Struthio camelus: one gene and its partners. The protein of the gene in region 2 interacts with the protein of the main gene of each other region in a biochemical or structural test. Links are inferred from orthologs where the notes say so. Each region holds a gene or a part of one and is shown on either strand. Other genes may lie near its edges. The genes, in order: COPZ1, TMED10 and COPG1.

What was found.
Region 1: the proteins of TMED10 (region 2) and COPZ1 form a complex in vitro, tested with the Homo sapiens proteins (2 studies listed by BioGRID, with this or other methods). The link is inferred for Struthio camelus from reciprocal best matches to the Homo sapiens genes TMED10 and COPZ1.
Region 3: the proteins of TMED10 (region 2) and COPG1 form a complex in vitro, tested with the Homo sapiens proteins (2 studies listed by BioGRID). The link is inferred for Struthio camelus from reciprocal best matches to the Homo sapiens genes TMED10 and COPG1.

The regions. Positions count from the first base shown.
Region 1 is NC_090969.1:2,884,993-2,892,222, forward strand, and holds the start of COPZ1 (coatomer subunit zeta-1), read right to left. Parts: upstream 3,017-7,230; 5' UTR 2,974-3,016; intron 1-2,973. Other genes in the region: NFE2 (transcription factor NF-E2 45 kDa subunit), read left to right, coding at 5,286-5,321, 7,101-7,230. UniProt on the Homo sapiens protein: The coatomer is a cytosolic protein complex that binds to dilysine motifs and reversibly associates with Golgi non-clathrin-coated vesicles, which further mediate biosynthetic protein transport from the ER, via the Golgi up to the trans Golgi network.
Region 2 is NC_090946.1:57,924,968-57,932,091, forward strand, and holds the start of TMED10 (transmembrane emp24 domain-containing protein 10), read right to left. Parts: upstream 3,095-7,124; 5' UTR 2,987-3,094; coding exon 2,768-2,986; intron 1-2,767. UniProt on the Homo sapiens protein: Cargo receptor involved in protein vesicular trafficking and quality control in the endoplasmic reticulum (ER) and Golgi.
Region 3 is NC_090955.1:6,907,898-6,915,821, reverse strand, and holds the start of COPG1 (coatomer subunit gamma-1), read right to left. Parts: upstream 3,054-7,924; 5' UTR 2,924-3,053; coding exon 2,887-2,923; intron 1-2,886. Other genes in the region: ARL6IP5 (PRA1 family protein 3), read left to right, coding at 4,652-4,827. UniProt on the Homo sapiens protein: The coatomer is a cytosolic protein complex that binds to dilysine motifs and reversibly associates with Golgi non-clathrin-coated vesicles, which further mediate biosynthetic protein transport from the ER, via the Golgi up to the trans Golgi network.

The DNA of each region.
Region 1 (7,230 bases), on a different chromosome or scaffold from region 2:
CGTTACCTTTGACCTTTGGCCTCTCTGGGGTCAGGTGGGGGGAGGGGGGACCGTGGGGGCACAGGGACAGGAGCAGCACGGCCATGGGGGGACACGGGGGGGACACGGGGACATGGGGGACGGGGACATGGGGGACGGGGACACGGGGACACGGGGGACAGGGGGACATGGGGGACGGGGACACGGGGACACGGGGGACAGGGGGACACGGGGGACAGGGGGACATGGGGGACGGGGACACGGGGACACGGGGGACAGGGGGACACGGGGGACAGGGGGACATGGGGGACGGGGACACGGGGACACGGGGGACAGGGGGACACGGGGGACAGGGGGACATGGGGGACGGGGACAGGGGGACACGGGGGACGGGGACACGGGGACACGGGGGACAGGGGGGACAGGGGGACGGGGGACATGGGGACACGGGGGACAGGGGGACACGGGGGACAGGGGGACAGGGGGACGGGGGACAGGGGGACACGGGGGACAGGGGGACACGGGGGACAGGGGGACGGGGGACACGGGGACATGGGGGACGGGGACATGGGGGACGGGGACACGGGGACACGGGGGACAGGGGGGACAGGGGGACGGGGGACATGGGGACACGGGGGACAGGGGGACACGGGGGACAGGGGGACAGGGGGACGGGGGACAGGGGGACACGGGGGACAGGGGGACGGGGGACACGGGGACATGGGGGACGGGGACAGGGGGACATGGGGGACGGGGACACGGGGACACGGGGGACAGGGGGACGGGGGACATGGGGACACGGGGGACAGGGGGACACGGGGGACAGGGGGACATGGGGACGGGGGACATGGGGACGGGGACACAGGGACAGGATCAGCACGGCCATGGGGGTCACGGGGGGGACACGGGGACAGGGGGACATGGGGACACGGGGGACATGGAGGACAGGGGGACATGGGGACACGGTGGACAGGGGGACACAGGGACGGGGGACATGGGGGACAGGGACACAGGGACAGGATCAGCACAGCCATGGGGGGACACGGGGGGGACACGGGGACAGGGGGACATGGGGACACGGGGGACATGGAGGACAGGGGGACATGGGGACACGGTGGACAGGGGGACACAGGGACGGGGGACATGGGGGACAGGGACACAGGGACAGGATCAGCACGGCCATGGGGGGACACGGGGGGGACACGGGGACAGGGCCACGGGCTCGACAGGGCCGCAGGATGCTGCAGGGACACGGGGACATGGGGGACGGGGGGACACAGGGACAGGGGGACATGGGGACACGGGGGAAAGGGGGACACAGGGTCGGGGGACATGGGGGACGGTGACACAGGGACAGGATCAGCACGGCCATGGGGGGACACGGGGGGGACACGGGGACAGGGGGACGGGGAGATGGGGGACGGGGACATGGGGGACGGGGACAGGGGGACACGGGGGACAGGGGGACACAGAGACGGGGGACATGGGGGACAGGGACACAGGGATAGGATCAGCACGGCCATGGGGGGACACGGGGGGGACACGGGGACAGGGCCGCAGGATGCTGCGGGGACACGGCCACGGGGGGACACGGGGGACAGGGGGACATGGGGACACGGGGTACGGGGGACAGGGGGACACAGGGACATGGGGACACAGGGACAGGATCAGCACGGCCATCGGGGGACACGGGGGGGACACAGGGACAGGGCCACGGGCTCGACAGGGCCGCAGGACACTGCAGGGACACGGGGACATGGGGGACGGGGGAACACGGGGACAGGGGGGACGGGGGGACACGGGGACACGGACACGACATGGGGGACATGGGGACACAGGGACACGGGCGAGCGGTCAACATGGACATGGGGACGTGGGGACATGGAGTCAACACGGCCACGGGGACTTGGGGGACGTAGGGTCAACATGGACATGAGCACACAGGGACATAGGGACAGGGAGACGGGTGAGGGATCAACATGGACATGGGGGACATGGGGACAGGGACACGGGTGAGGGGTCAACATGGACATGGGGGACACGGGGACAGGGACACGGGTGAGGGGTCAACATGGACATGGGGGACACGGGGACAGGGACACGGGTGAGGGGTCAACATGGACATGGGGACATGGAGACACGTTGGAGACAGGGAGAGGGACACAGGGGACATGGGGACAGGGACACAGGGTCAACATGGGCATGGGGGACACAGAGAGATGGGGAGGGGGACATGGACACGGGGACAACACGGACACAGGGGACAGGGGGACGTGGTGACAGGGACATGGACACGGGGTCAACAGGGACACGGGGGACGGTGGTGGGCACAACGCGGACGGGGGGACCGGGGGGGGGGACGCGGTGACACGGACACGGGGCCAACCCGACGTGCAGGGCCGGGGGGACGTGGACACGCAGGGACACGGAGGGGGACACGGGGCGGCCACGCACGCGCAGGGACACGCCATGGGGGGGGGGGGGCCGGACGCCTGGGCCCCCTGCGGGGGGGGGGGGGGGGGGCGGATGCCCTGGGCCCTACTGATAACGCCGGGCCCTGCTGGGGGGGGGGGAGCTGTGTCCCCTGTGTCCCCAACCCTGTCCCCGTCCCCCGTCTCCTGTCCCCATCCTTGTCCCTGTCCTCATGTCCCCAAGTCCCCCTCCCTGTCCCCTTGTCCCCATCCCTGTGCCCCCCATTCCCCTGTCCCCATGTCCCCTTGTCCCTGTCCCATGTCCCCATCCCCATGTCCCTTTGTCCTCATGTCCCCCACTCCCCCATCCCCGTGTCCCCACCCCGTCCCTGCCCCCTGTCCCCCATCTCCTGTCCCCATCCTTGTCCCTGTCCCCAAATCCCCATCCCTGTCCCCTCCCCATCCCTGTCCCCATGTCCCCATCCCTGTCCCCATGTCCTGTTGCCCCAGGTCCCCCCTCTGTCCCTGTCCCCCTGTCCCCCACTCTTTCTTTGCCCCCATGTCCCCAAGTCCCCATCCTCACCCCTGTCCCCGTGTCTCCTTGTCCCCGTGTCCCCCACGTCCCCTGTCCCTGCACCCCCCATTCCCCTGTCCCCATGTCCCGTCCCCCCCCGCCGTGCCCGTGTCCCTGCGGCGGGTGCCGGGGGCGGGCGGGGGCCGGGGCCGCCCCGGGGGCTGGCGCTGCGCCGTGTCCCCGCCGTGTCCCCAGAGGCGCCCGCGATGGCCGTGCCCTGAGCACCAGCCCCCGGACGCCGGCGGTGACCCGCGGCAGGTAGGAGCCCGCGCGGCAGGACACGCGTGTGCTCCCGTGGGGCGACACGGGGCCACACGGCTGGGGGACGTGGGCCGGGGTCAGGGCAGGCGCGGGCTCGGGGATCGGTGCACGCGTGTGCCCAGGGATCGGTGCACGCGTGTGCTCAGGGCTCGGTGCACGCGTGTGCCTTGGGTCTGGTGCATGTGTGTGCCCAGGGGTTGGTGCACGCGTGTGCTCAGGGGCCGGTGCATGTGTGTGCCCAGGGATCAGTGCACGCATGTGCAAAAGGGTCGGTGCACGCGTGTGTGCCCCGGGTCTGGTGCACGTGTGTGCCCAGGGCTCGGTGCACGCGTGTGCCCTGGGTCTGGTGCACGCGTGTGCTCAGGGGTTGGTACATGCGTGTGCCCTGGGTCTGGTGCAAGCGTGTGCCCAGGGCTCGGTGCACGCGTGCGCCCTGGGTCTGGTGCATGCGTGTGCCCAGGGATCGGTGCACGCGTGTGCCCTGGGTCTGGTGCACGCGTGTGCTCAGGGGTTGGTACATGCGTGTGCCCTGGGTCTGGTGCACGCGTGTGCTCAGGGGTTGGTACATGCGTGTGCCCTGGGTCTGGTGCAAGCGTGTGCTCAGGGGTTGGTACATGCGTGTGCCCTGGGTCTGGTGCAAGCGTGTGCTCAGGGGTTGGTACATGCGTGTGCCCTGGGTCTGGTGCAAGCGTGTGCTCAGGGGTTGGTACATGCGTGTGCCCTGGGTCTGGTGCAAGCGTGTGCTCAGGGGTTGGTACATGCGTGTGCCCTGGGTCTGGTGCACGCGTGTGCCCTGGGTCTGGTGCATGCGTGTGCCCTGGGTCTGGTGCACGCGTGTGCCCAGGGCTCGGTGCACGCGTGCACCTGCGGACCAGTGCGTGTGCCCGGCGTTGGCTACGCAGGTTTCCGTGCCCAGCTCTCGGCACACGCGTGTGCGAGCGCCGGGGCGGTTTGCCCGCAGCGGGGCCGGGGCACACGCGGGGCGCGGCGCCAGCGCCGGCGCGGGGCGATAACGGCGCCGGGGCCCTGCGGTTCCAGCTGCCCCGGCCGGCGGGTAACGACGGGAAACGGGGGCGGAAAGGGCCCCGGCGGCCCCGGCCCGGCCGGCTGCAGTGGCTGCGCCAGCGCAGGGCGCCGTGTTTGTGTAGGGTCTCCTGGGGGCCGTGTTATTGCAGGGTGCCCCGGGTGCTGTGTTATTGTAGGGTCTGCAGGGTGCCGTGTTATTGCAGGGTGCCCCGGGTGCTGTGTTATTGTAGGGTCTGCAGGGTGCCGTGTTATTGCAGGGTGCCCCGGGTGCTGTGTTATTGTAGGGTCTCCAGGGGGCTGTGTTATTGCAGGGTGCCCCGGGTGCTGTGTTATTGTAGGGTCTGCAGGGTGCCGTGTTATTGCAGGGTGCCCCGGGTGCTGTGTTATTGTAGGGTCTGCAGGGTGCCGTGTTATTGCAGGGTGCCCCGGGTGCTGTGTTATTGCAGGGTCTCCAGGGTGCCGTGTTATTGCAGGGTGCCCCGGGTGCTGTGTTATTGTAGGGTCTCCAGGGGGCCGTGTTATTGCAGGGTGCCCCGGGTGCCTCACCGCCGCCGGACCCCCGTGTGCGGCACTGGTGCAGGGCGAGGGGTGGCCCAGGGGTGGCACCCGAGCTGGGGGACACGGCGGCGTGCTGACACCCCCAGGGGACACGGGGGTGGCGGGGGGGGACGGCCAGGGCGGCTGCCGCTCGTCGGTTGGGTCTTGTGCAACCCCTCGGCGGGCGTTGGGCAACGGGCTGGCGCAAGCGGGTGGCCCCCTCCCCAAAAGCAGAAGTGGGACCCAGGCGTCCTGCGCCCAGCCGGGGGCGGGGGGGGGGTGGCCTTGCCCCGGGGACACGCGGGTGGCACCGCGGTGGCAGAGGGGGCCCCGCTGCCGCCCCCCTCCCTTCCCCGCCTGGGGAAACTGAGGCAGGCGGCGGAGCAGGGGGGTGGCGGGGAGGGACCCAGGCGTCCGGGTGGGGGGGGGTGGCGGGTGCGGCGGGCGATAACCCCTTATCTGGGGCGGCAGGAGGAGGCGGGCGCAGCGGGACGGGGATGTGTGACCCCGGCGGGCTGCCGGGCGCCCCCGAGGTGAGCGCCGGGGGGGCCTGGGGGGGCCCTGGGGGGCTATAGAGGAGTCTGGGGGGACACTGGGGGTCCTGGGTGGAACTGGGGGGGCCCTGGGGAGTATCTAGGGGGTCTGGGGATGACAGGGGGGGTCTGGAGGGGGGTATTTAGGGATTCCTGGGGGGGTGTCAAGGGGTCTAGGGGCTGGAGGGGGTATTTAGGGGTCCCTGGGGGGGTGTATAGGGGTCTGGGGGGGCTGGAGGGGGTATTTAGGGGTCCCTGGGTGGGTGTATAGGCGTCTGGGGGGTCTGGAGGGGGTATTTAGGGGTCCCTGGGTGGGTGTATAGGCGTCTGGGGGGTCTGGAGGGGGTATTTAGGGGTCCCTAGGGGGGTGTCAAGGGGTCTGGGGGGGGCTGGAGGGGGTATTTAGGGGCCCCTGGGTGGGTGTATAGGGGTCTGGGGGGGCTGGAGGGGGTATTTAGGGGTCCCTAGGGGGGTGTCAAGGGGTCTGGAGGGGGTATTTAGGGATCCCTGTGGGGGATCTAGGGGGCTGGGGGACGAGGAGGGGGTATTTAGGGGTCCCTGGGGGGTGTATAGGGGTCTGGGGGGCTGGAGGGGGTATTTAGGGGTCCCTGGGGGGTGTCAAGGGGTCTGGAGGGGATATTTAGGGATGTCTGGGGGGGTGTATAGGGGTCTGGGGGGGCTGGAGGGGGTATTTAGGGGTCCCTGGGGGGTGTCTATGGGGTTTGGGGGGGCTGGAGGGGGTATTTAGGGGTCCCTGGGCGGGTGTATAGGGGTCTGGGGGGGGATGGAGGGGGTATTTAGGGGTCCCTGGGGGGTGTATAGGGGTCTGGGGGGGCTGGAGGGGGTATTTAGGGGTCCCTGGGGGGTGTATAGGGGTCTGGGGGGGGATGGAGGGGGTATTTAGGGGTCCCTAGGGGGGTGTATAGGGGTCTGGGGGGGGCTGGAGGGGGTATTTAGGGGTCCCTGGGTGGGTGTATAGGGGTCTGGGGGGGGCTGGAGGGGGTATTTAGGGGTCCCTGGGTGGGTGTATAGGGGTCTGGGGGGGCTGGAGGGGGTATTTAGGGGTCCCTGGGGGGTGTCTATGGGGTTTGGGGGGGCTGGAGGGGGTATTTAGGGGTCCCTGGGCGGGTGTATAGGGGTCTGGGGGGGGATGGAGGGGGTATTTAGGGGTCCCTGGGGGGTGTATAGGGGTCTGGGGGGGCTGGAGGGGGTATTTAGGGGTCCCTGGGGGGTGTATAGGGGTCTGGGGGGGCTGGAGGGGGTATTTAGGGGTCCCTAGGGGGGTGTATAGGGGTCTGGGGGGGGCTGGAGGGGGTATTTAGGGGTCCCTGGGTGGGTGTATAGGGGTCTGGGGGGGCTGGAGGGGGTATTTAGGGGTCCCTGGGGGGTGTCAAGGGGTCTGGGGGGTCTGGAGGGGGTATTTAGGGGTCCCTGGGGGGTGTCTATGGGGTTTGGGGGGGCTGGAGGGGGTATTTAGGGATCCCTGTGGGGGGGCTAGGGGGCTGGGGGACAAGGAGGGGGTTGGGGGTGTACAGGGGGTATCTAGAGTTGGGGGTTGGGGTTAGGGGTCCTGGGAAGGTGTCGGCCCTGGGGGTATCGAGGGGTCCAGGGGGGTGTCAGGGTCCTGGGGGGTCATTGGGCGCCCTGGGGAAAGCGGGAGGGGGGCTCTAGGGCCCGGGGAAACGGGGAGGGGAGGCTGGAGGGGCCCCGGCCAATCAGAAGCGTGGAGGTGGGGGGGGGGGAACACTGGGCAGCCAATGAGGTGCCGTGTGCCCGCAGGCGCTGGCGGCGCTGGGGGAGGCCATGGGGCGGCTCCCGGCGCTGGCCCCGCCCCCGGCGCTGGCCCCGCCCCTCGGCCCCGCCCCCGCGCTGGCCGAGGTGGAGCTCACGTGGCAGGAGATCCTCTCCC
Region 2 (7,124 bases):
GTCAGGTACAGAGACAGATGTGTTGCCACTTCTCCTGTCAGCCAGGGACAAGCCACCGAACCACTGGAAGCTCAAGCAAGCAGGCCTAACTGCACTGCAGAGCCATCTCTATCCGACCACACAGACATGACATAAAAGTATATGTTTTGGTGACCATGCAGCGCACACTATTCAACAGCGCAGCTCTGATTAACCAAGATGCCAGTCTAATTATATATATACATACGTGTGTATATATTATACACACACACACACATACATACTGCACGGTGTGCCCACTGGCTTCTCAGTCTCAAGAAACAGTTCTTGTTACTGTTGTCCCTATTATTTTGAGCACTGTCCTCTAGAGATTTCTAGGGACCAGAGCTAAGCTTTAGCTAAAGGATACTGTGCAGCTTGATCCATTTTTGTCCTTTACAGCTCTAGCAATAGCCCGCTCATAAACAGGATCTCAGACAGTAAAAGCTCTGCTGTCTGCTTCCTTCAATATTGGACACTGTTACCCAAATCAGGCAAATACATTACCCATTCAGTTGGGCATGCGGGGGTGGGAGAAGTTGCAAGTAACCCAGTCAGAACACTTGTGGGGGAGAAGTTGACCTGAAAGGGATTTTTCATGATATTCTAACGTTATTTACAGTAACACCATCCTCCACAGACAGGGCATTGTTCTCCCTTGACAAACAGCCCAACAACTCCCCAAACTGCCAGCCTCAACAATGGACAGATGCACGTGACTGGGCCCAAGCAAGACGTCATCCACCCAAAAGCCTCCCTTCCATAGCCAGCTGGCAAATTGGGCAGATTCCTCAGAAACAGAGGGTGCCACTGTTAGTGTTGGAATATCACAAACACAGAACTTAGCTCATGGACAGGAACCATACTGAGCTCAGCCAAGATTAACTACCAACCTCCTACGTTCTGGTGGCCCAATTCAGGGAACTGAAACAGACCATCCAGTGCAGAAGGAGGGAGACCACCTGCAGATATCACGCCCTGAACTAACCTTTCCTGCACAAACTCAGACACAAAGCTGTTTTGGTTCTGTCTATATACAGATAAGTTTCCTGTTACAAATGATGTAACTATACAGCACAAAACAATTAAAAAAAAAAAAAAGGCAACAATCCAGAAACATAACCAAGCAAGACTACCCCTATCCCACGGTTTTCAGGTATTTCAAGGCAGATGCTGCAAGGGTAACATGATTTCAGAAAAATCTCACAGTGCTCACTGAACACTCCCATTTCTGAACCTAGAGATTCTTGAGCAGACAGCCTTGTCACTGTTTGCTTGTACACTTACTTTTAAAATCCTCTGGAAGCTCAGAGAGAAGACGGACAGAAAGCAAGCTTCTGCAAATGGATTAAGTTAGAGTGATTAGTAACAGACCTTACTTGGATAGTTGGGAAATGAGAAGAAAGCCCAGGGAAGGAAGATAATGAACAGAATTAAAGTGAAGCTGCTGAAGTGTTATTTTAATAGCTTCCTGTCACATAGATAGATTTATTATTCACATATATATTCTGCTGATCTTTCCCCTATACTCTGTAAAGGTCCTTCAGGCTATCATCTTGGTGCTTTCTTCCCTGCAGTGAACACCGCAGCAGTGGTAGTATGCCAAAATGCCCCATTAAAATCCATGTAAGTCATATGATACAGAAAGAACAGAGTAACTGCTTATGAAAAGCTTGTTTCTAAGCCCCCATCTGACCTTTTCACTATGATCTGCTGCCTGGCCCCTTTGTACCAGGCTATAGGCAGAGATGGAGCTCTTGAACAGCCACGTCACTGTAATTCTCTCCTCCCTACACAGTGTCAACAAAGGCAGGCCTAGGACGGCTTTATCTCAGCGGCCCATCCCCCACGTGGTGCCACATGTCTTATAATCCACATGCCTCCCCCTATGATATCTCATGGGGACAGCAAGCCTTGGTGTAACTTCTTAAGCTGTTACCTACCTTTCTCCCCCATTACCTAATCCCCAGATAGCAAACGCTGGGCGAGCTGTTCACCCACACTGTTCCCTAACACAAAGCAAGCCCTGTCACAATCCTCTACTACGTCACTGGAAGCTGTCTGTCACTGAGGCGCCCCAATCCTTCCCATCATGAGAAACGTAAAAGGCAAGGCCTGCCACCATCTGTAACTATAACCCATGTATGTGCTGCATTATACATGGAAACACAGGCCACGTCAGGACGGAGGGCCCACAGGCTGGAAGTCCGCCACCTACGGAAAACAAACCTGCCGCAGCCTGGCGCTCTGAGCCACAGTCCCTCCGTGCCACGCAGAGAGAACAACGCCGGCGGAGGCCTGGGGTCACAACCCGTAACCCCGCCACGCCACACGGAGAGCGCAGCGAACCCGCCACAGCAGCGCTGGGCCCTGTCCTGCGGCCCTGAAGCACCGCCGGTGTGCAGAGGGCGCACGGCACGGCACGGCAGGCTGCCGCAGGCCCCGCCGCAGGCCGGCAGCTCCCCGGCGCCCCGCAGCTGCTGCCGCCTCCGCTCGCAGAAAGCCCGCCCGGGCCGCGGCCGAGGCCGCCCCGCCGCTGGACAGAGCCGCCCGCAGCCCCGCGGCCGTTACGTGCGGGCCGCGCGCGGCGCCATGGCCCGCGCCCCGCCCCCGCCACGTCCGGCGCCGGCCCCGGCCCCGCGCGGCCCTGTCACGGCGGCGGCGGCCGCGCGCGGGCGGGTCGGGCCGGGCCGGGCCGGGCCGGGGCGCCGGCGGCGGTCCGGGGGGCCGCGATCCGCCCCGCTCGCACCTTGAGGTTGGCGGAGGGGCCGGTGGAGGAGCCCGGCGGCGCGCCGATCTCGTACTCGCCCGTGACCAGCGTGTCGCGGTGAATCTCCTCCCGCAGGCACTTGCGGGCCTTGCCCGGCAGCTGGAAGGAGATCGGCCGCGCCGGGCCCACCAGCAGCAGCAGCAGCAGCGCCGGGGCCAGGGCCAGCCTGAGGCGGGGGCGGCCGGGCGGCAGCGGCATGGCGGCGGCGGCGGCGGCGGCTCCGGGTGCGACAGGCCGGGCGTCCTCCTCCGCGCCACGTGACCGCCGCCACCGCCGCTGCGTCAGCGCAGGGGGCGCGCGCGGCTCGCGCGCGGGCGCGGCGCGGGGGGAGGGGGCGGGGCGCGCGCGGGGGGCGGGAAGCGGCGGCGGTTGGGGGGGAGGGGCGGCTGCGGGCGTGTGGGCAGCCGCGGGGGGGGGATGGGGGGGCTGGAGTATGAGGGCTGAGGGTTGTTCGGCTGCCGGCGGGGAGCAGGGGGAATAAAAATGGACCCGGGATCGTGGCAAAGCGACGCTATTTTTCTTTTAAAGTGTAAATGATGGCTTCAGAAAACTGCCATGAAGGTTGCAAACGTGCGGGAGGCCCGGGAGCAGGTTCACACCCGGTTCTGTCCCCCCAAAAACTCTCGCTGTTAACAGTAACGTCGGAAGGCAGAAGAGTAAAATGAACGTAGCGCAAGCGCTACCGCGCGCCTTAAATCACAGTCGGTAATTTTAGAGTAGCGACCCAAAACGCCGCGCTTGAGGGAAGGCTGCGGGCGCCGGCCTAGACTGGCGGCCAACAGAAAAGGGCCGGTCACGTCCCTCCGCCGTGGTAGGGAGGCCGCGCGCAGGCCCCGTGGGGTCGGTGGGGTTTGTGCACGGCGGCGCAGTGTGTGCCCGAGCGCGCCCTGCGTCACCCAGACCCGCCGCAGGAAACCCTAGGGCCGCCGGACCCCCTTCTCCTCTGTCCTGCAACCAACACTCGGGGCCTCCTGCACCAGCTTCCAACGTTGAGAGTTTAAGTGTGTTTCTGATCGTCTTCTCCAGGCACAAGGGTATTCGCTGGAGTTAGGTATTAAACATTGCCTCTTACTGGTGGACTGTTACATTTTTAAAGAAATGATCTGTTACACAACACAGTCATGAGTTAACAAAATCGAAATGTGTTAAGGTAGAGAGGTGCACACAACGGACGTACAAGCCATCTAAACTGTTACAGACTCCCAGAGCGTTTCATACGGTTGGACGTCTGCCAAGTCTTTCAGTGGAAGATGCAGTGCCCTTTCTAAATTTTTTTTTTAAAGTTTCTGAGTAATTTTCCCTCTGTTTTCTTCAGCCAGGAAAATTTTGTCTTACCAGATGTCTTACTTCTGTAGATCAGCACCATGCAATACCATACAATAATGATAGAGAGAGGCTACGGTTTTTGCCACTAAATATAATTATGATGATTTTTAAAGACACTTTGGAGAATTGTTTTTCTTTCCAGTGTATGCTCAGATCTAGTTTTTTTTTTTTCATTTGGTCTCTGATACTTTAAGTATTTTAGCTTTTATGAACACAGCATGAAATAACCCACCAGCTGCATTAATACTCTCCTCTTTTTATTCCTTTGGCCTTTGCAGTGTTCCTCAGCGTAACTTGCCTTGACACAGGGAGAAAGGAAGGAGGAAAATTTCCTAAATACGCAGTTAGGATTACCAAACCTGTAGTCAGCTCCTGGGATTGGTTGCAAGTATCTGGGTGTGTTTGGAAGTAAGGAAAAGGGAGAAGAAATGGACAAATAGTAATATTGCTAGAAAACAACAAAAAAGCTCTTCTATTTTTATTAGCTTGTGTAAAAATACCTATTACGCTGTTGTTTCACTTTTATTTATTTTAAATGTCACCATTCCTCTCTGTGGGCAAAACATATCATTAATGGCAAGTAATAAGCAGGAATCGGTGCAAACTTCAATCTTAAGAGACTTAAACTACTACATGTTATGACTAGATGCTTACACGCAGACCAAGACAGGCCAAGCCATGACCAGAATGCTTTAAAGAACAGCTCTGTTTTTTACAAGCATATACTCATATTTCCTGAGACGATATGATGAAGGCAGGGTTCGTTTCTCGTTAACTCAAGCAACAAGCTGATCTGGCCTTCATATGAAGGAACAGAAACTATGCCCAACTGTACAGAGACAGACTGACCTCTTTGCTTGGAGGGAAATAAAGAGAACCCTTATGAAAAAAAAAAAAAAAAAAAAGACCTACACAAAGCCTTTTCCTACATTTAAATGACATTTTAGGGAAACACAGTTTTCCTTAGCATAGCCTATATGTTTTAAATGAACGTTGACTGTACTCAAATATACAGTCCATTATTTTAAGTTTCAGTTTATTGTTCGAAGTAGTACTTAGGGTTACTTGTTGCACATTTCAGTGCATCTTTTTTTTTTTTTTTTGATCAGTTCACAAATCTTTCCTTACATGGACAATTAAATTAATTTTAAGCTCAACTGTAACAAATATTTAGCTGGTTTCTGCAATATGTCAAAGTATACTTGCACAATAAAAACATTCTTTCTATTATGGCACTTAAGGCAAAAATAGATATTATTTCACAAGCTTTAAGAAACATAAGATTACTTGAATCTAAAGATATGAAATGTTGTAATGTTCTACCACAAAATTCCTGATGAAACATGCACAACACTAGAAATCTCTCTATGCAGAACATTCCTCATACCAGTGATATGTAGCCAATCTTCTCTCAAGTTCAAAACATTCAATGATGCCTTATTTTCTGGGGTAAATATCAGAGAAAGTGGCTCAGTCCTGTTAAAGTAACCTCATTTTCTAAAATCAAAGTGTGATGTCAGCTATTAAAGAGTAAATATATACTGAATACAGTCCCTTCCTATTTGGTCCATTTTGTCATGGTACATTTTTAGATAAGAGTTACATTTATGACCAACAAACTTATCATCGATCTTTTGTTGTAACTTTCCCTTGTATGACGGTATTATGCTATAAGCTGCTACAAGTTCAGATTGTTCTAATTATAAAATTGTACCATAAACGCCTTAGAGCTTTAGCATGTTGTGAAAGAAAGTAGTACTGATATGCTCTTTACAATTTCCATCTTTTCGCTCTCTGAAGCACTTACAAATGCAATGGGGCAATCTTCATTTAATGTGCAAAGTAACTTCTAGCAGATGGAAGGCATTTTAAGATCCTTTCAGCTGCGGGTTTAGAAATAACAGTCTTGCAGGGACATGCCTTAACATTTCCACATATTCCAGGCTGGCAAAATGAAATACTTCCTGTAATTCTGAAACTCTTAACAGATGAGAAAAAAAGATTGATAACTTGTTACACAACTTTCAAGATAAAATGATGACCTATTTTAGCATAATTTGCAATGTTACGCATTATATGAGCTTGGCAACTAGCTACAGGCGAGTATTTGTTCTTGCTGCCATTAATCTGTAGACAAATGGGTGTATACCATTCTACCTTATCATCTGCAAATCGCGACACGTTGCCAAAATTTAAACCATTTTGTCCCTGTACGTTTCTTATATTTTCAAACATCCCAGTGCAGTTTAGTTGCGGACTGGAAAATAAAGAAGAGAGCGACAAATTATTTAGCTTTCATCTCCATATTAACAAATAAGCCCTGGAAACTTGTTAATACTTCTGTAGTGTGAGGCGGCAGTAGCTGCAGAGGAAAATAAGCTCTTTCCCACCAAATTTTTAATTGTTTTCTCAACTGGAAAAGAAATTGGCAGATTGTTGGCAATACTTAGTATTGCCTTACTAAAATGTATCTTGTATCCAGGGTGAATCTCAGAAAACAACACTATTTAATTTGCTGTCTCCATGAAACAATATGTATGAATGTGTGTAAATGATGTAATTAGACTTTTTTTCTGCTTCTGCCTCAGCTGCTTTGCCATTTCTGCATTTTTTTTGTTTTTAACAATAAAAAGTTGAAACAATTTTGTTCTTAAAAGCTATTCTAGAATTACTTTTATGATCTAATCCTTTTGCATTCTGTCTTACATCTGGCAATGCACTACAAGCTACTGAGAAACTTCTGCATAAACTACGTAAGCCTTGTGATACTAATCACTGTTTTTACTAACCCGTGCAAAGTTGCTTGTCCACGTCTTCTGAGAAGTGCAAAACCTCTTCTTCTAAAGGGATATATCCTAACTCATTGCTGGGATATAACTACTAAGTCACCATCATGATCATGATCCAGATAGGGATCTAATTCAATGAGCTAAAAATAAACAATAGCTAAACAGCCATAAATCAGCACCACACTGCTCTACCTCCCCTGTAATCTGCCTCAGAGACCCCA
Region 3 (7,924 bases), on a different chromosome or scaffold from region 2:
TACATCCTGGACCCTTTCAGGTTCATAAACTCCACTCCTCTGGCTCAGGATAAGTTTGTAAATGCAGTAGGTGGCGGAACAAAGCACAGACATTTACATAGGACAGGTAAAAAAGGGAAACAAGGGGAAAGGATAAAACTAATGTAAAATTCTAGTACGTGTGCGTGACTGGGTTCCAGAAACGGGTTTGAAAAAAATCTTCCTAGAAGTGCAATATTTCCCATGGCGTAGCATGTCTACAATCCCTAGAAAAGGGAGGCTGAAAAAGCTGAAAATTAGGGCAAGGCATTTAATGCACATTAAAGCAAACAGTAAGCACAGTCTACAGAGAACAATCATTAAGATTTACATTGAATCAAAGCACTTCAGGAGACACAGTAAACACTCAGATGGCTATTCAACACTGTCATATCTAACAGTGATTCCACATGAATTACACACCAAATGAAATATCAACCGCTTCCTTACCAGGCATTACTCAGGTGTAATGTTTTGAAAAGTCAGTCAACCCGTCTTTAAAAACAGCATTTATTTGATGCTCTTAGCATTTCAAACCCACTGAGGTATGCAGCTGTCTTGTTAGAAGAGCAGACTGTGTGTGTGCGTGTGTGTGTGTGTGTCAAAAACCCAGCACCAGAAGGTACAAATCAGTTTCTACCCTGTGTTAGCGTCTGCTTTGATAGCTGGGCAGCTGTGAACAGGATTGAGGGATACATGCTTGAGATTCAGTCCCTGACTCCAGCGCCTGATGATGCGGTAGGTAACTTCGGAGTACTTCGCAAATGGTTTAGTCTCTGTTTCTGTAAATCACAGGAGTACTAAAGCAGATTGCTCTAATATTTCCACAGTGCTTCTTATTGCACTCATCTCCGCACCATTCAACCCCCGGGTACAAAGCTAGTACCAACGCACCAGCGTCTCTTTCCACCGTGACAATCCGGCACCTGCCTTTGCCCTCTGCAAATTCTACGCCCTAAAACCATCTCCTGCTTTACATTGGCACAAAACGTTTTGCGGAGCAACCCGGCCGTTCAAGAGTCAGATGATTCTGGGTGGAGGTGTGGGTCCCAAAAGTCAACTGGGAGCAGCCAACCAGATGGCATCCCAACAGCGTGGGAACGGCGGGATTCCTCCAAAACGCGCGGCCTCGGACATCGTCGCTCTTGCTAGCTTCTGTGCCGCCAGCCTACCTGCCTCCCAGACGGCTTACGGCAGCTCCCCGGCGCCCGCTCCGCCTCCTGCCCCCCAACCGCAGGGGGCTCCTGCCCTGGGGCGCCCCAGGCCTCCCTCCATCACAGCCGCCCCCTCCGACGGCCGCAGCGGGGGGGGGGGGCTCCCCTCACGGCCGCCCCCTCCGACGGCCGCAGCGGGGGGGGGGGGGCTCCCCTCACGGCCGCCCCCTCCGACGGCCGCAGCGGGGGGGGGGGGCTCTCCCCTCACGGCCGCCCCCTCCGACGGCCGCAGCGGGGGGGGGGGGCTCTCCCCTCACGGCCGCCCCCTCCGACGGCCGCAGCGGGGGGGGGGGGGCTCTCCCCTCACGGCCGCCCCCTCCGACGGCCGCAGCGGGGGGGGGGGGCTCTCCCCTCACGGCCGCCCCCTCCGACGGCCGCAGCGGGGGGGGGGGGCTCTCCCCTCACGGCCGCCCCCTCCGACGGCCGCAGCGGGGGGGGGGGGCTCTCCCCTCACGGCCGCCCCCTCCGACGGCCGCAGCGGGGGGGGGGGGCTCTCCCCTCACGGCCGCCCCCTCCGACGGCCGCAGCGGGGGGGGGGGGGCTCTCCCCTCACGGCCGCCCCCTCCGACGGCCGCAGCGGGGGGGGGGGGGCTCTCCCCTCACGGCCGCCCCCTCCGACGGCCGCAGCGGGGGGGGGGGGGCTCTCCCCTCACGGCCGCCCCCTCCGACGGCCGCAGCGGGGGGGGGGGGGCTCTCCCCTCACGGCCGCCCCCTCCGACGGCCGCAGCGGGGGGGGGGGGGCTCTCCCCTCACGGCCGCCCCCTCCGACGGCCGCAGCGGGGGGGGGGGGGCTCTCCCCTCACGGCCGCCCCCTCCGACGGCCGCAGCGGGGGGGGGGGGGCTCTCCCCTCACGGCCGCCCCCTCCGACGGCCGCAGCGGGGGGGGGGGGGCTCTCCCCTCACGGCCGCCCCCTCCGACGGCCGCAGCGGGGGGGGGGGGGCTCTCCCCTCACGGCCGCCCCCTCCGACGGCCGCAGCGGGGGGGGGGGGGCTCTCCCCTCACGGCCGCCCCCTCCGACGGCCGCAGCGGGGGGGGGGGGGCTCTCCCCTCACGGCCGCCCCCTCCGACGGCCGCAGCGGGGGGGGGGGGGCTCTCCCCTCACGGCCGCCCCCTCCGACGGCCGCAGCGGGGGGGGGGGGGCTCTCCCCTCACGGCCGCCCCCTCCGACGGCCGCAGCGGGGGGGGGGGGGCTCTCCCCTCACGGCCGCCCCCTCCGACGGCCGCAGCGGGGGGGGGGGGGCTCTCCCCTCACGGCCGCCCCCTCCGACGGCCGCAGCGGGGGGGGGGGGGCTCTCCCCTCACGGCCGCCCCCTCCGACGGCCGCAGCGGGGGGGGGGGGGCTCTCCCCTCACGGCCGCCCCCTCCGACGGCCGCAGCGGGGGGGGGGGGGCTCCCCTCACGGCCGCCCCCTCCGACGGCCGCAGCGGGGGGGGGGGGCTCCCCTCACGGCCGCCCCCTCCGACGGCCGCAGCGGGGGGGGGGGGCTCCCCTCACGGCCGCCCCCTCCGACGGCCGCAGCGGGGGGGGGGGCTCCCCTCACGGCCGCCCCCTCCGACGGCCGCAGCGGGGGGGGGGGGCTCCCTCCATAGCTGCCCCCTCTCTCCCCCCCCCGCCGTCTCCCCTCACAGCTCGCTCTCCCCGGCCGCCCCTCACCCGACTCCTCGTCCTTCTTGTCGAACTTCTTCAGCATGGTGCTTCTGGGTGGGTGGGTGGGTGCGAGCGCCCCTCGCCGTGCCCTGCCGTGCCCGTCCCGCCGCGCCGGTGTCGCTGTCGCCGCCGCCCGCCCCTTCCTGCCGCCCGCCCCTTCCTGCCAGCCTGTCACTGCCACCACCGCCGGCCGCACTGCGCAGGCGCGGCCCGCCCCGCCCGGACGTGGCCTCCCGGCTGGCCCCGGGCGGGGCGGGGCGAGGGGGGGGTGCAGTTCAGGGGGCGGGGCGAGAGGAGGTGTGCCCATGGAGACGGCGGTGATTGACAGGAGGGGCGGGGATGGGGAGGGAGGGGCGAGGCCTGATTGGCGGGGAGGAGCCTGGAGTGTGGAATGGGACTGGGACGCTGCGACTGGCGGGGGGCACACTGGGATAGGGGCACCGGGACTGGGGGCATTGGGACTCAGGGGGGCACACTGGGCTGGGGGGGGTATACTGGGCTGGGGGGGGCGCACGGGGATGGGGGCGCTGGGACTGGGGAGAGTGAGAAAGATGAAGAACGCCCCGCCGCGCCTCTATGGGCGGTGCTTTGCTAGAGCGCCGCCGCGCGGCAGGCCCATAGAGATGGAGCGGGGCACAGGGCGCGCCGCTGGGAGGGCTAATCTCCATGGCAACAGGAGGACTCCTTCGCCTCCTCCCCCCCCCCCCCAACCATCCCTCACCGCAGCCGCCATCACGTTCAGGCCTGCGCTCGGTGCCTTGAGAGCCAGAGCCGCGACGGCGACCCCGGGACCCCGCAGCGGGCTCCCTCCCTCGCCCCACAACCCCTCCAACAGCGGGGATCCCCCCTCTGCCTCCCGGGGTCCCCCTGCCATCTCCCCCAGAGCCCCTCGGGGGGGGGGGCAGAGCACGCCGCCATCGCAGCGTCGCGATCCCTGTCGGAGGCCGAGGGACAAAGTCCGGAGGTGGAATTAGCCCCCGGCATGTCACAATATCCCACAGCCAGGTGGCTGCTACCTGCGAGTCACGTTTGCAAACGTGTTTCGTTTATCAACAGCGCCGCGGGCTGCTAAGGGTTTGTGATTTTTTGGACTCTGGCTCCCCAAATCCGACTTTGGGAAGCGCGATTGAGTGCAGACCTCCGGCGCTGCGCTCACGCTCGCTTTACTGCCGGCCTCCGCTTCGCGTCGGGCTTTATCGTCCTGCCACCGTGACTGGGCGCACCGAGCTGCCGGCGGGACGTGTGCCCGGGCAAGGTGTGTGCGCAAGCCGCAGAAAACGGAGGTCAGAAGGGACCAATTTTATCATACGCTACCGGAGTTGGAATCACCAGGGCTGCTGGCACTACGCTTCCCCTCCAACGCATCCTCGCTGAAGGATTTACAGTGTATATATACGTTTATATATATACAGAGGGCCTCGAAAAAGCCCTGTATCGTTATTTTTTACTACTGCCTCTCCGGCTGGGGTGATTATTGCGCCTGCTGCCTTCCTCGGGCCTGCCAGCGGCTGCCCCACCTCCCCGCACAGCGCACACCACCCGGATCCCCCCACCCCCCGGGCCATTCCGCCTCTTCAATCTCTTGCAGATTAGCAAATTAGGCGCATCGACCCTGCCGCCGCGAGAGCGCGCCCGCCCGCGCCGCTCCGCCGCCCGCCGCCGCCGCCAACCAGCGAGCCGTCCCGGGGCGGCGCCGCTGCGCTCTTAGGGCCTGCGCGGCGCCGCCGTGCCCGCGGCGGCGGCGGAGGAGGAGGAGGAGGTGGCAGCAGCCATGGAGGTGCAGGTAGCGCCGCTGCGGGCCTGGGACGACTTCTTCCCCGGCTCCGACCGCTTCGCCCGGCCCGACTTCAAGGACATCTCCAAATGGAACAACAGGGTGGTCAGCAACCTCCTCTACTACCAGACCAACTACCTGATGGTGGCCGCCACCGTCGTCTCCATCGTGGGGTCAGTGACTGCGCGTCGCCCGCGGGCCGGGCCTGGCCCGTGAGGGGGCCGGGGGGGCCCGTGAGGGGGGCTGGGGGCGGCTCCCCCCGCGGCTGCCCTGATTTCGGAGCCAGGAGGCTCCCGCAGAGGCAGGGAAACGGCCTGTCGCCTTCTCCTCCTCCCCATCAACCGCCGGGCCGCCTCTCGTCACCTATAACGTTTCAAAAGCAACGCCCCGGTTGCAGCTCTCTTTGTGTATATGTGTCTGTTTATTATTATTATTTTACTTTTTTTTTTTTTAAAGGTGGGTGAGCGTTTAGAGTAGGGTTCAGGACGTTTATTTTATCTGGGGAGGGGGGGACAGGTGACAAATCTGAGAGCGATCGCTCTCCTCCGTTGAGGCTGCCCAGGCGGCTCGGCACAAACGTGAGAGCCCCAGGTACGGAGGGGTTTTTGCAGGGCATGGTATGGCTGGTAGAAAGCGGTGATGGGTTTAAGTGCAGGATGTAGCTGCTCTCTGAAAAACTAAATTGCATCCTCTGCAGTGACCTAGCACTTCCTGCTTAAATCTGTCTAAACTCTGCTTTGGATTAAAAATAATAATAATTCTGTTGTATGTTATAGTTTTACATTGATTTAAAGGGAACAGAATGAACTTCTCTTACTCCTGAGCTAACTCATATTGAAGAGCTTCAAATATGAAATGCATCAGGGTACACGTTCATTTCATTTGGGGCAGGGTGATGTGCTGGTAGTTTGTTCTCATCAGGCTCGGTTTTCCTAAAGAGTTTTGGGAAATCACCTTCTAACCATCTTTTGAATTAAGGCCTATGTGACTGTCTTTCGAGCGTTGCTCTAAGAGCTTTTTGACCCAAGATCTTACACAAGAGATGCAGCAGAGCCTGTGATGATTAAGCTTTTAATATGGAAGTAGGAATACATTTCCTATGCTCTCTGTAATGGGGGTAAATGCTTACACTGAAGGATTGCCCAGCCATGAGGCTGAAGTGGCCTTGGCAGCAGTGTATGTTGCAAAGGCTTAAAATACATCTTCTAAATCCAGTTTTTGTTAAACAAGTTGTATCTAGTTACAGCTTTTAAAGCTGTTGACCCAGACTCTCAATTAAGATGCTTTGGGTTGCAGTGAGGTTTTTGAGCTATTTTTTGTGAAAGCAGGGGCCCCAAAACACTGCATTTTCTTCTTAATTTTTGGTGGGGATGTGGTACAGTCAACTCACTAGATTATCAAAGTGGTAAAAAGAGGCTTCCATGCTCTTGCCATTCTTGCACCGCTATTGGTTTAAACTTCTGTGTCATCTGCCCTTGTTTAGCAGTGAGATATTGTAGCGAGTCCTAAATGACTAGGCAAAGCAAAGTGGTTCTGGAAAGCAAGGGGGAAAACTCATCTCCCCAAGGGAGCTTGGTGTGGTGGTGGGGAACAGTTTTGATATCCCTGGCTTGGAAAACTGAAATAGTAATAACTCTTATTCAGTCTTCTAAATTCCTTTCCCCTTCTGTACTCTCATCTCTTCTGTTCAGATCAAGTGTGAGGCCTCTCCTGCTTATTTCCAGCTCAATGTTTCTACCTTGCTGGGAGGGAGGGGAGGAAGGTGGAAGGGAGCCACAGGAGGTAAAGATTACTATCAGAACAACTAGCTCTTAATATTCAGTGGTAATGCACTGAGTTAAAAATTCTGGACCAAAAAACAGTTGGAACTGGATCTTAATCTCAGATTTATTCATTGTTTATTGCACTTCTTAGAGCCCTTGATATATGACAAATCTGATTCTTCTAACACTGAAGTAAAAGGGGAAGGGAGAAGAACTCTAAAGGGAGCAGGGTAACTCTTCAATAGAGGAAAAACTATCCACTGCTTCTATTAAACGGTTTTCACTTGGCCATATCATGGTTTTGGGAGAAAGGCAAAGAAAGTTCTTCTTAGTCATCGATATAAATTTATCAGTTGTAATCTTGCACTTTGTTCTGTACCGCACAGGAATTCCTGAGTGATAAATGAGGAATCATGACTTTTCAGGAACTCCAGAACTTTATGCAGGCCTAGGGACAGGATTATGCAAACTGCTAGTGCAGTGGTCGTCTTGTGATCAGAACTGTCTTGGCTCATAACCAACTATACCTGCTCTTAAACCGTCAAATTAGAAATACAGATGTGTAACGCAGAGATAATGTTTTCAGCATTGTAATAGCGTGGCACTTGTGGTGGTGCTGGGCTAACATAGAAAGTGTAGCCTGTAGCTTTCTTGATGTTGGAAGTACAGTGCTTATTGCCATGGTTTCAATTTACTGCCTCTCGTGCAACAAATTTGACATCTCCAACCTTTCACCCTCTCTCTACGAGGTATGGAATAACCTTAAGTGTAGTGGAATTTTAATACCTGCTGCATGGTTCCCTTGTCTCTCCCCTTCCAGTTGCTTTCTCTGATAGCTACTGTTACGTGTAAATGATGTTTGATGCTTTACCATCATGTGTATTGCTTTCAACCTACAGATGTAAGCAGGGAATAATAAGTCTGTGAACAAGAAACTAAAACTACTTCCTTCCTTAAAAAAGAAAAAACAACCTTTAAGAATGAGTCAGGACTGGGGTGCTCATTCTTCTTGCAACTCTGTTGCAATAGACCACTTTAGGGGGGGGGGGAATGTTACTAAAGGAAACTGCCCCTTCTCCCAGTTGTGAGGGCACTGATGATGATGCTCCATTCTTGCCTTGTCACTGTGAGTGCTGTACAGATATTTATTAAAAATAGTGTCTCCTGCAATGGCTTGCAACTTGTTCCCCCCTCCTGAAACTATCAGTCTATGTAATGTGTCATTTATCTGAGTTCTCACCTACTCTCATGGCTTCCCTGTCTTGCTGTTCAAACTAACTACTTAAATTCTTTTTTTTTAATGCTGCTGTTGTCATCAGGTACTTGCTAAATAGTAGTTTTTAAATCTGATAGTGTCCAAAAGTGTAATGATTTCAGAGTGCCTCATTTAAGAGTCTTCATTCTCGTGTGGCTTAATAACTTGAGCAGCCTAAAGCCCCGTGTCTCTTCTCCTTTGTCCCCTCTGCTCTAAATATCTGCTGGCCTTCTGTACCAACCCTAGCAATCA